3 linked regions of the Coturnix japonica genome follow. The protein of the gene in region 3 purifies or fractionates together with the protein of the main gene of each other region. This does not show direct contact. Links are inferred from orthologs where the notes say so. Each region holds a gene or a part of one and is shown on either strand. Other genes may lie near its edges.

Region 1 (3,903 bases), on a different chromosome or scaffold from region 3:
CTGTGCTGGGTGTGGGGCTGGGCCTGGAGATGCTGCAAGGGGGGAATGAGAAGGAGAGGGGAAAAAAGGAAGGAAACGAGGGGAAAAAGGAGGAAAGGAGGGGGAAAAGGGAGGAAAAACTGAACAGGGAGGAGCAGAAAGCAGCAGAGGAGCTCAAAAATGAACTTACACCACAATGGTGGTTCCAAGCTCCTAACTGGATCTGATAAAACCCAGTGCTGCTCTGTGAGGCTCAGGATGTCCTGCAGGCTCTGCTCACACTGCACACTGCTGGGCAGCCCTCCATGCTGCTCCCAAGGGATGGTGGAAGCAGCTCCATGCTCTCTGGGTGCCCCTGGGCTGTGCCTCCCCAATGCAGGAACCCACACCAGGCCCTGGGAGGCATCAGCAGCCAGCAGGGATAAATCAGGGCCTGCACAGAGCTGGAGCAGGGCATGGAGCACAGTGAGAAGGTGTGAGAACACAGTGCTACGGAGCTTGGGGGCTGAGGAGTCACCTCCAGCCCTGAGTGATTCATGGGTTAAGCCACAGCTCTTGGTCAGGCCCGAGGTTTGGGCACACAGCACTGCCACAAGGGTACAGACAACACACAGCATGGGGGAAGCATCAAGTTTAATTAAAAACATAACGAAGTTGCAATACAATAGAAGTGTGGTGGTGGAGAGCAGCTCCGTTCTCTGGGAGGCGGGTGGGCTCCTCTTCCATGCTGAGCACAAATCCGGCTCCTCCTTGTGCTGGACACACCACCCCTCTGAACACAACCCAGCAAGGCCAGCAGCCCCCAGGGCAGGTGGGACAGTCTGCACATCTCAGGGCTGTGGGTGTGCAAGGTGAACAGAGCCAGAGGGAGGCAGCTGCAAGAGCTCACAGCTCCCCTTGGCCTCCTGTTCTTCCTGCCCTGAGGTTGCTGAAAGAGCACAAAGAGGACATTGCTCACATAGCTGACCCTCAGGACAGGCAACTGCATCTACAATCACTCCTCCATTTCCTGCATGGATGGAGTCCTGGGTAAGGCACAGCAGGAGGTGTAGTTACTGATGGGCAATAGTTTAATGTAGTATTTCTGTCCCATGAGGAAAGCTGAGGGTTTTTCACCCACACATGATGGTCTCTGCAGCCATTGCAGCCAGGCAGGAGGGTTATCCCCTCCTCAGTGTCCCAAAGTCTCATCAGGCTCGTCGTGCCTTCTTGCTTTTCTTTTTCTCCTCTTTCATGGCAGTGTCGTGGGCTTTCCTCTTGGCTGCCAGTTTGTTTGCCTGCACAGAAACACAACCCGAGAGCCACGGTCAGCCCTGTCCCCACACACCAAGACCTGCTCCAGCCTCAGACCCACTGAACTGTTCTGACAGCGGGGGATGGAGACAAGCAGAGATGCCCTGAGCTTCACTTGCTGGCCACACACTAAGGCCCCAGGCAGGCACAGGGAGTTCTGCTCAAGGAGTTTGAATGCCTGCAGCCTGGTAATGCTGGGGAAGAGGCCTGTACAGTCTCAGCCTTGTGTACCTGAGGTCAGCATCCTCACTGCCTCACCATGTACAGAGAGGAAATGAAAACCCAAAACATGCAGCATGGGAGCAGTCTATGATGTGCATGGAGGGGATTCAGCTCTGACCAGCCCCACAGCAGGGCAGGAAGACAGGAGCTGCAAGGCTATGGGCAAAGCTCCCTCCTACAACCAGAGCTAGGGAGGCACAGGCCTCAGAGGTCACTCCATCCTCACAAGATGAGGACAGACCATGATATGTGATCTTTAGCTGCAAACTGCTTTGGGAAGACCTAGCACAGGGATCCATGGTTTGGAGCATCCCTACACTCGTACCTCTCGGATTTTGCGTTTCTTTCCAAACATGATCTTCTTGTAGAGGTATTTCTCCCTTTTCTTCATCATCATGATGGCCAGGCGCTTCTCCTCGCTTTGCTGCTCCTGTTCCAGGCGCTGCTTGTCCTCCAGCTTCACTTTGCCAGCAGTCACCTTCACGGGAAGAGCCTGCAGAGAGCAGAGAGCTCAGGGCTCTGTGTGCCAGGAGCCGGGCCTTCCCCAGGGGCACTTCCACACTACTCAGTGGAAACACAAGAGACACAGCATCCTCTCTGGTTGCCCCGAATGGGTGGCAGAGGGACAGTGGCATCCCATTGCCATGCACTGCACCTTGTTGTTGCTCTGAGTCTTCTGCTCTTCCATCTTCTTCAATTTAATCTCCTCTTCCTTTTCGGACTCATCTTCCTCCTCCTCTTCCTCATCTTTATCATTGTCATCCTCCTCTTCCTCTCCCTCCTCTTCTTCCTCCTCCTCCTCACTTTCTTCCCCTATAAAGAGATCACTGTTACTGACCATGGAACACAGTGGCCCTGCAGCAGACAGAGCTCTGCTGAAGCTGCAGCACTGCCTGGATCCTCTCCAGCTCTGGGAGCTTCACATCACCTGGGTCCTCGCCTCGCTGCATGGCCAGCAGCTTCAGCTTCTCTGGAGGGATATAGTCTCCTTCCTGCTCTGTCACGAAGGGCGAGAGGTGTGGGGGCAGCAGCACACCGGGGAAATAATCGGCTACAGGGAGACACAGCTTGGCATTGACTGAGTCAAAAACCCACTGAGGCTGCAGATAATACCTATGGGCAGAGGGATATGGGGCTGGAGGTCAGACACTGCCTTCCTGCCCCATGCTCTAGTGTCCAAGGGGCTGCAAGATTGCAGTGGGGAAGGTTGGGAGCAAGCGGAGCAAGGGGGAGTTCAGAAACAGCCATCAGCCCAAGATGGCCATTCTGAGGACAGGACACCTGGCTCACCTGCCCACAACCTGCTGCTCAATCCGGGGCCGGTCAACTATCTGGTGGGTGATGGATGGGTCACTCACATCATAGGTGGCACCAATGCACAGGGACTTGTCCCAGGACACTTGGCCACCAAAGCACCTGCCAGTCAAACACATCAAGCGGTCGGTCACACAGCTGACACTCTCAGGGTCATGGTGGCCTCAGCAGTGCAACTGGAGAGGACAGGGAAGGACAGCACAAGGTGGCAGAGCTGCAGGAACCCCTCCCACCACATACCGGATGATGAAGGCCAGGGGCTCTCGAGGCACCTCCCTGTTGAGGAAGAAGCGTAGCCCTTCAAACAGCTTTTTGTGCTTCTCCAGGGCCTCCTGCTCCTTCCTCCTTGCATCCATCTGCTCAGCAGTCTCCTGCTCAGGGGCAAAACAGTCAAGTCTCTTCCCTACATGCAGCACAGCCAAGCCCCTCTCTGCTCTCAGTCACTGTCCCCATCCTCCTGCCAGTCCCCCCCAGTCCCACACTGGGCACAGACAGCCTTCTCTCAGCCATAAGACGTGATGAGGACAAGACAGCACATGGTGTGGCTCAGGCCTGGCCACCAGGCTCTTACCCCCTCCACAGGGAACTCATCCATCTCCACATCATCCTCTTGGGCTGGTGCCACCACACGTGCCAGGCTGGAGCTCAGAGCCGACAGTTTCTGCAACCAGAGGAGACCAAGATGTAAGGTTCAGCCAGAGCTTTAGGAATGGGAAAGGAGCAGGCTCACAGAGGGAGCCCCAAGACCAAGCACAGCTCCTCCTCCAGCGACAGCAAAGGGATGAGAAGCTGGGATCTCCATCATGCATGGGTCAGGCTCTGCTCCTCAGCCCCTGCACCACGGCCCCAGACCAGGAGGGGTCCCCAGCCAGGGCACTGAGGACACACAGCATCCTTGCATGCAAAGTCCTCACGCTGACCATAGTGGCAGCAGAGCCCCTCACCTCCAGGTAGCTCTCTGAATCCATGGCATACTCCTTGCCTTCCACAGGCTTCAGCTCAACCTCAGCCTGGCCATCGATCTAGAGACAAACAGAAAGGTGGGGGGACAGCTCCCAGACATGCTTTGCACAAACATCCTCCCCCTCAGCCCTT
Region 2 (4,378 bases), on a different chromosome or scaffold from region 3:
GGTTTGAGGTGTTTTACTGTGAAAAACAGAGTATGTAGTTATGAAAAGTAAAATAATGTCCTATGCTGTTTCTTCTGGAGTCCAAGTAGAAACTTGAAACCATCTATTTTTTTAATATCCATGTGCAAATGACACTATTAAGAGTATCCAGTGTCCTTACTATAAATGTAAAATCTTATTTTGCTATTCCAGAAGAGCGTTATGAAGACCATGTACATGCTAAGGAGTGGGAGGACTGCTGAACCTTGTGCAGAGGTATTACAGGTAATACTTACAGCTAACAAAGTAACACTGCTATACTTCAAACAGTAACCAAGCATTCAGTTAGACTGGTATTTTCAACCAACAAAAAGTTGATATCTCTGTTTCAGGTTGGAAAGAAGAAATGGGGACAAGTGAGGCAAGCACAGGAGTGAGTGGGCTAAAAGCTGGGAGTCGGCAGCTCTGGTGTCAGTTAATCAAGGTACTCCTTTCCATCACTTTCTTACCATGACTCTCTGTCTGAAAGGTTTGTATTTTTGCGTGTCGCGCATTTTCTTCTTAGGATGATCAAGGAATAAGACCTGAAAGAAATCACATTTCCAGCGTAAAGAGTGATGCTACACAAAAACTGATACAGCTGAATACACAGCTTCCTGCTCTTCAGCATCTAAATCAGTGCTATTAAGATCAGTGTGCAAGCTGAAGAACTTGGTGTGCCAGCAAACAGGGCTACACTTGGTACAATGTGAGAGGACAAGAAACTGAGCTAACAGCTAAAAAGCAGCAGTTCCTATGAGTTTAGGTGTGTTATTTGACTGATCCAGGAAGATGAATAATAAATTCACTGATTTTCAGTGTTTGGAGCTTTGTCTTCATAGCAACAAATCTGCAGCTGTGTTACCTTTAGGTCATTGTGTAATGCATGCCCAACTAATATCCTTCCATTCAAGATATCAGCGACCTCCTTCTGAACTGTTTTAAAGTCTTCACCTAAAGATGAGATGGAACACTTGGCATTAGACACACAAAACATCTAAGCAACCTACAACCAGAATATGGCATCTTTGTTGTGAAGACAGCGTTATACCTTATGGGACTGTGGTTACACAAGTTTGTGCTGTACAATCAACCCTCAGCTTGTTACAAGAGCCTACCTGTCTTTAGATGCTCAGGTCGTATGCCGCTAACAGCTGTCCTGTAATCCGTCACCTCTTCTGTAGGCTTGACATACTTGTCATAAATGCACTTTCCAAACCGGTTCACAATGGACACACGAGCCACAATGCTGTCTTCGCCGTTGGGTCCCACTCCCACCATCTCACAGTCCATAGCTACAGCTCTTGTAAGGCTGAAAAAGAAAAAGACAACTCAGTGACGCATCTCTTTACAGGGACCACACAGCAGAGCTGCGAGCAGCAGACTCAGATGTCAGCTTAAACTTTGTCTACAGCCATTACAAGCTAATTGTGATGCCTCTGCTGCTGTGTCTCCTGCTTGGAACACCACTCACCCTCCAGAAGACTTCTCTTTAACCAGCACCTGCTCCACAGTCCGTTTGGGTTGGCCTGTTTCAAGTCCCATTTTCCTTCTAGCAACTTCTGCTGCTTCAGGTCCTATTGCTGCTTCAATATCATTTGGATCAACATCATCAAACCAGATGTCGGGCCTGGTAAGTATAAATTTAACTGTGTTAAATAGTCTTAAAGTGACAGTGCATCTCCACCATGCACAAAAAGCACATTTATCTTTTAAAATCAAGAAAGCAGCTATCTCAAAAGTAGTCTATGCTGTTATCTATGCAGATTTATTGTGAGGAGGGGCAGCATTCATCTTCTGTTGCCCACATTCTAGCCTGGAAGAGCACAGCTATTTGGAACGTATTTCATTGTACACCTCCTAGAATACATTACCATGTGCTGATGCTTGAAGTACTCACTCTTTGGGCTGCTGTGCTTTATCGTCAGCTTTCCTCTTCTTATGTTTCACGTCGCTCTTCTCCTTTTCAATGCTGCCGTTTTTCCTTTTCTCTTTGCAGCCCTTCCCATTGCTTTTGATGCCGTTCACACTCTTGTCCTTCTCATCTCTCCTGCCTTTGGGCTCAGCCATAGGAGCGCCACCATCAGCAGAACTCTTGGCCCTCTGATCTGTGTGTTTAGGCTTTGAATTCTTGTCAGTTGCAGCCTTCTTGTGTTTCACCTTGCCCACAGGAGGGCTGTGTGCATTCAGACCCCCGTCCTTTTTATTTGTGGATTTGGGTTTCAACACGTTTTGATCCCCAGTGCCAGCTGGGACCTGTTGGCTGTTTCCCTCTTTGAGTGGATGCTGCTTCTTGGTGGATGTTTGAGATGAAGGGAGAGTCTCATTCGAGGCACTTGCCTTCTGCTTCAGTAGCTAAAAGAGCCAAAGAAAAGAGGGGGGGAAAAGGAGAGAGAGAGGGATTATCTCCTTGATCATCATCAATTCTCCCCCGATATCACTGAAGCAGAGCAGGGCTCTGGCTGGCTGCAACGCCCCATCCCCCGCGGGTTATTATTACACATAAAAAGTCCTTCTAAATGATTACACCCAGATCGGAACCGAGTTAATGCAGAGCCCGGCATCCAGCCCTGCTCGCCCTCACCTCCTGCAGCGCCTTCCAGTTGGAGGAGAACTCCTGCGGGCTGCGGGGTATGGCCGCCACCGTGGCCGCCTTCGGGCCATTCTGCGCGGCCATCCCCGCCTGCTGCCCGCTGCCCCGCCGGCCTTTCCTCCTCCGACCCTTCCCACCGGCCGCCCCCTCGGGATCCGCTTTCGCCATGCGGAACCACGGCGGGGAAACGGTGCAGCACCCGGCGGGGAACGGCGGATCGAGCTTTGCGTTCCGCTGCGGGGCCGGGGCTGTGCGGGCACCCCCTGGTGGTCAACAGAGGGGAGAAGCCAGCGGTGCATGGAGCGGGGTGTGCGTCCTGCGGGACATCGCCCTGAATCACAGTGCTCAGTCTGTGCTGAGGTTTGGCGAGCAGGAACGCGGAGTTCAACAAATCAGAGCCCTTACCCCGCACAAATTACTCCTTGTTTATTTGGCTGCTGTAGTTGGCCCGAAGCTGCTTCTCTTCGCTGCGCTCCTTGGCTGTAATGAAGTTGCAAATGTTGTGCAAAAAGCTCTCCCTCTCCAGCTGTTCCTGTAAATCCTCCCACAGCAGTTCAATTCCCCCTCGACTGTCCCCCTCTGCAGTCGATCATCTCTCCTGTTTATTTAAACTCTGCATGCTTTGCTTCCGTTCCACGTGATGCCTCAGACCAAGCATTTTAATCACCCCTGGGCCAGAGATTGCTCTGCAGCACTGCTTGCAGTCCCTCCAGCATGATCATCAGTCTGACCATCCGAGTACTCATAATGTTCCCTCTGGGGTTTTGCTGGCCCTCCATCCTCCAAGAGGTAAGCCTGACCTCCAGAAAGCTCCGTTTCCAGGAAGCCTTGTTTTATTTCTAGGAAAAAAAGAAGAGAAAACACACCGTGTTCTAAGCCAAGATGTATCAGACTTCACTAATCAAGAAGATAAAGCTATTTCCTCCGGGTGGCCGTTGTGCAGCGTACGCTTAGTGCAAAATAAAACCATTAGACCTTGGCATCCATACTTGTTAAATTGTTTGCTGACGTCCCTTCCAGGTTCGTTTCGGTTAAATAATAACTTTGTGTCCATTTGTTTTCCCTAAAAAACGTAAAGCTATCCTTCTTCTTGCAGAGGTTTCTCAGAGCTTTGGATGCAGACGATGTTTTCTCTTATTTTGGAACCAGCTCAGCGTCTGATGGTATGCAGAGCTCTTTCCTTCTTGATTTTGGAACACATTTGTCAGTTTATTCCTAATCCCGTACATTTGATAACGCTAAGAACACTTATTAACTAACCCTGCTCTGACAAGTATTTAGCATTTCTGAGTTGCGTTGCTCGGTGAGGTAATCCATGTCTCAGTGTGTAAGCAATTGAAGAACTGGGCCAGTGTTTAAAATCTGCTTAAGGAGCTGTGATAAATCTTTTCCATCCGTGGTCCTTATTTTCTGTACCAGTATTTTTCGACAAGGTTAACAGATCTAAGTCATCTGAATGGGAAGGCATAGACTGAGAACAGCTTTAAGTGCACTTGTTAACGTTTTGAAATGCACAGGTGGAACGTTCTAGGTCTGGATTGTTCTGGATAGTTCAGCATAAAGGTACATTTTGAACTGTCACATTCTTAAAGCAAGGATGCTGTCACTTTGTGAGTTCACCTACTGCTGTTCCCAGCACCTCTGTTCGGGTTATGGTAATTCTCAGTAATATTTAACGTCTGAGGGAGCAAATCTATCTCAGCCTTTGCCAAATGAACTGTTCTCATTGACGAGGGAGAGAAGCACAGGTCATTCAGGAGCCAGTTC
Region 3 (4,092 bases):
TCTTTGAGGTGAAGCTGTTAAACTTTGACATCTCAGAGCTTTTTAGTGCAAGGCTCTGATTCTCAGCTGTGTAGCTGAAAAGTTAACAGCACATCAGTGGTGTAAATCAAATGAGTACAGTTGCAACAAAATTAACGCATCCGGTGTGCAGGCACACATCCCATTTATGTCAGAGGGGGCTGCAGAACAGCAGCGCTGCCCCATCAGATGCAGCATCTTCCTAGTGTGAGGTGAGGGCACCATCTACGGGTGAGTCTGTTGTCCAACCCGTCGGGACCTCCCTCCATGTCTTTGCTTCTTTTTATAGCGTGTGTTAGGAATGTTACCAAGGAATCACTGTGCTACAATAGAAGGGCTATTGACGCTCTAACGTCAGGACATACTGCATCAGCAACATCCGTTTTCTCTAGATACGCTTTCCCTGTGTTTGAGTTGTTTCCTCTTCAAACCTTTGGCTCCATTATCAACAAAATGCCCCCTTACTGAGGATCAGCAGAACACAGTTGCTCTCATTGGACATTTGCAGGGCACAGGCGGTGTTTGTCCGAGCCTGGCAGGATCAGTCCTTTCTTTCTGGCTCCAGCTGGGACAGGCATTCTTGCTGATGCTAGAAATTAACTGATACTCAGGAAAAATGATTTTCCTTTCTCAGTTTAACTGGCAATGGTACTCCAAGGGTTTATATGTGAGGGCATAGCTTCCCTGACACAGTCAGAAAAGTAAGAAAAACAGAGGTACCCCTTGCCAGCTGTTGGCAGGACTATCTATGCTATGAAGGGCTGTGTGGTTAGCAGACATAGCAAGTGCACGCCGAAACCTCATGACTGCAAACAGAAAGTGAGGTGGCAGTTTCAGATCTACAAGTAGTTACATCCTAGAGCAGTCTCTAAAGGCTCCTCTGATGTTTAAAGGATTTCTTTTGTATTTACTGTTAAAGATGCAGGGCTCCCAAGCCTTTACCAGAGCGGAGATGAAGCAGCATGCACAGGTAGAGGCTGACCTGGTGTCTAGACTCACTGTGGGCAGCCAGGGAGAGGTTGTTTTGAGTTTTGGGCAGCTGTTTTGGGTTTAACATTGCCCCCACAGCGCACACAGCGCACACAGCCCACAGGCCCGGCCCTTCCCTGCCCACACACACCCCGGCTCTTCCGGTTCATCCCTATGGAGGACGAGAGGCGGGGCAAACCTGTTAGAGCGGCGCATGCGCTGCCCGCCACCTCCTCTACGGCGGCGGCGGCGACAAGATGGCGGAGCCGGAGTGAGTGCGGAGCTGCCGGGAGCGCGGATCTGCCGCCATCGGCCGGGAGCGGGCGGCTGCGGGAACGGGGAGCGGGTCGGGGCAGCGGCGGGGGGTGTGACAGGCGCTGAGCGTGACCGGTTTCTGCCGCCCGCAGGCAGAAGCGGCGGATCCCGTTGGTGCCGGAGAACTTGCTGAAGAGGAGGAAGGCCTACCAGGCCATCAAGGCCACCCAGGCCAAGTTAGCACTGCAGAACAAGCGCAAGGTGCGGACCGCGGGGCTGGGACGGGGCGGAGCGCTGTCCTCGCTTACCTTTTAATTTAAGAACAATTTAATAGCTGGGGACCTGCTCTGTTCTGACAGCCAGCAGCAGGGGCCTACCTCAGAAGTGGCATAGGGCTTGCTGAGGGAATCTGCTCCTGTGGTGTTCGTGGGGCCGCATTAAAACCTCTTCTGTTCTTTGTTGGATACCACGAGTGTGTTTGTAAGCATGTGGAGCAATGTTCCCCAGGGAGAAGGGGAAGCCTCAGTAATAATGTGCAGTAGCCACTTGTTAAGATTCTCCTTAGTAAAAATGACCATAATGATGGGAGTCAAGTCTCTGCCTGCTTGGAAAATGCAGCCTGATTTCACAGATGGTTTCCAACATGGAAGAGAACCGAAGATGTACAGTGTGTTCTTTAGTTTGGAAGTGGCTTAGTGTTTAGCTAGTAATGTATCTGAAGTGCAGCTGGGTGGCTGCTGTGCACCTTCTCACATGAGAAAGCACTGTGATGTCGGTGGGTGTACTTGATCCTGAACTGAGAACAAACATATAAACTTTTAAATTGGAAAAAAAAAAAACAAGTTATTTTCTTTTTGGTGGTTATTTTGAGTGATGGTGGATTATTGGTGGCTGTTTTGTAATACATGTTGCTTCTGGCTTTCTTTGAGCTGACCAAGCCATGTGTAAGTGGCTGTGTTTGTTTGATTTCTCCTATGCCTGCAATCACATTGAGTCTTGCTCTGTGTCTTTCCTAACTTATTTCCTTCCATGTAAAACCTCCCTGTTCTCTGGAAGTCACAGCCCATTGCTTATAGTCTACAACTTTGTATGTTGTCCCTGAGTTTTGCATCTTGGAGGCTTGGATTTTCAAATGTATTTTACTACTGTCTCCAAAAATAAAAGAGCGTGGTGCATGAAGTTCAGAATTTCATCTGACCTTTGAGTTACCCGCTTCTAGGATTGTTGAGGAGGGTGATCGTTCCTTCTCCTTTTGTCTTTAGATCCAGAAGGGAAAACAAATCCAGTTTAAACGCCTTGAGGCTTTTGTTCGAGATTCATGGCGCCAATGCCGAGATGACGTCAGGCTGAGGCGCATGGAGCAGCGACCTCGGCAGGTGGCTGTACCTAAGGAGCACAAACTGGCCTTTGTTGTGCGGATTGCAGAGTAAGAAACCTTGTTACTTCTGTTATTGCTATTATCTGTAAATGTCACATCCCTTCTAAGCAAAGGAAGTGCAATCTAGCTACTTGTGTCTCTGCAGGTAAGCTGAGGCCATTTGGTACTGTGTTAAAGAAATGTGGTTATTAATGGAATGTTTTTATGTTTAAGGATTAAAGGAGTGAGTCTGAGGGTAAAAAAAGTGATCAACTCGCTGCGACTGAAAAGAATTTACAGTGGGACATTTGTTAAACTGTCTCCATTATCGCTGAAGATGCTGCAGATCGTAGAACCTTATGTGGCCTGGGGGTAAGTACTGCGTGAGTCACATGGTTTTGTAGCAGTTTCTTTGTAATCATAGAATTACCCAGGTTGGGAAAGACCTTGAAGATCATCAGGTCCAGCCACAGCCTAACCAGAACCCTAACTCTAAAAACCCTCCACTAAATCATATCCCTGAGCACCACATCCAAACGGCTCATAAATACAACCAGGGATGGCGATTCAACCACCTCCCTGAGGAGCCTATTCCAATACTTAACTACCCTTTCTGTAAAGAAGTTCTTCCTAATATCCAACCTAAACTTGCCCTGGCGCAGCTTGAGGCCATGTAAATTTGTAAATATCATGGCTTTCTGATTTGTAGCTGCCTTCTCCAGTAAGTGGTCAAAAATTCACTGACTTCACATCTAAAACTTGTTGATATTTATCACTCTAAAGCTACTATGGCTACTTCCCAACTTCAGTGTGAAGCAATAGAGTGGGACTCTCCACTTTTTAGTCTGATTTCTTGTTTTTGTGCAGGTATCCTAATCTGAAATCTGTACGAGAGCTCATTCTGAAACGGGGCCAAGGAAAGGTTAACAAGAAGAGGGTACCTCTGACGGACAATATGTTGATAGAGGAACATTTAGGTAAGATGTAAGATAAGAAAACAAAGTGAAGCTGTGGTTAAGGGAGATGTTGAGAGTTTGCAGTCTGACCTTAGAGAAAAGGGAGGGAGGAAAAATTGTGCAAGACTTTTATATAGAGATCTGGGGATTCTTGGTTGTGTGAAGGAATAGCTGCACATCTCTATGGGTGGTGTGTGTCTGCTGCGTGTTGCATGTCTTGTTCATTGTACTTTGCGGTTATTTTTTCCTGCAGGGAACTGTGGTATTATTTGCCTGGAAGACCTTATTCATGAAATCTACTCAGCTGGGAAGTACTTCAGAAATGTCTCAGACTTCCTATGGCCGTTCCAGCTGTCAGTGGCCCGCTATGCTGCACGTAATAAAGTGGGGTTTCTCAAGGAGATGGGTAAGCCTGGCTGCAGAGGTGAAGGAATCAACCAGCTTATACGGCAGCTGAACTAGACAGGTGAGGAATGTACATTTTAAATCCTTATTATCTGGCTTCCTAAGATTAACTGTATTGCCATCAAAGACGCG

Evidence for each region.
Region 1: the proteins of RPL7L1 (region 3) and PES1 purify together in Homo sapiens (affinity purification with mass spectrometry; 4 studies listed by BioGRID and IntAct, counting the BioPlex papers as one, with this or other methods). This does not show direct contact. The link is inferred for Coturnix japonica from reciprocal best matches to the Homo sapiens genes RPL7L1 and PES1.
Region 2: the proteins of RPL7L1 (region 3) and REXO4 purify together in Homo sapiens (affinity purification with mass spectrometry; 3 studies listed by BioGRID and IntAct, with this or other methods). This does not show direct contact. The link is inferred for Coturnix japonica from reciprocal best matches to the Homo sapiens genes RPL7L1 and REXO4.

What each region holds. Positions count from the first base shown.
Region 1 is NC_029530.1:9,612,724-9,616,626, reverse strand, and holds the end of PES1 (pescadillo homolog), read right to left. Parts: intron 3,831-3,903; coding exon 3,753-3,830; intron 3,470-3,752; coding exon 3,380-3,469; intron 3,180-3,379; coding exon 3,049-3,179; intron 2,911-3,048; coding exon 2,785-2,910; intron 2,608-2,784; coding exon 2,423-2,607; intron 2,308-2,422; coding exon 2,150-2,307; intron 1,988-2,149; coding exon 1,820-1,987; intron 1,257-1,819; coding exon 1,170-1,256; 3' UTR 596-1,169; downstream 1-595. UniProt on the Homo sapiens protein: Component of the PeBoW complex, which is required for maturation of 28S and 5.8S ribosomal RNAs and formation of the 60S ribosome.
Region 2 is NC_029532.1:5,445,125-5,449,502, forward strand, and holds the start of REXO4 (RNA exonuclease 4), read right to left. Parts: upstream 2,820-4,378; 5' UTR 2,780-2,819; coding exon 2,603-2,779; intron 2,374-2,602; coding exon 1,919-2,373; intron 1,649-1,918; coding exon 1,493-1,648; intron 1,331-1,492; coding exon 1,137-1,330; intron 973-1,136; coding exon 884-972; intron 564-883; coding exon 489-563; intron 1-488. Other genes in the region: ADAMTS13 (A disintegrin and metalloproteinase with thrombospondin motifs 13), read left to right, coding at 3,326-3,400, 3,708-3,774.
Region 3 is NC_029519.1:48,832,370-48,836,461, reverse strand, and holds the start of RPL7L1 (60S ribosomal protein L7-like 1), read left to right. Parts: upstream 1-1,157; 5' UTR 1,158-1,244; coding exon 1,245-1,258; intron 1,259-1,394; coding exon 1,395-1,503; intron 1,504-2,504; coding exon 2,505-2,668; intron 2,669-2,833; coding exon 2,834-2,971; intron 2,972-3,466; coding exon 3,467-3,576; intron 3,577-3,808; coding exon 3,809-4,017; 3' UTR 4,018-4,021; intron 4,022-4,092.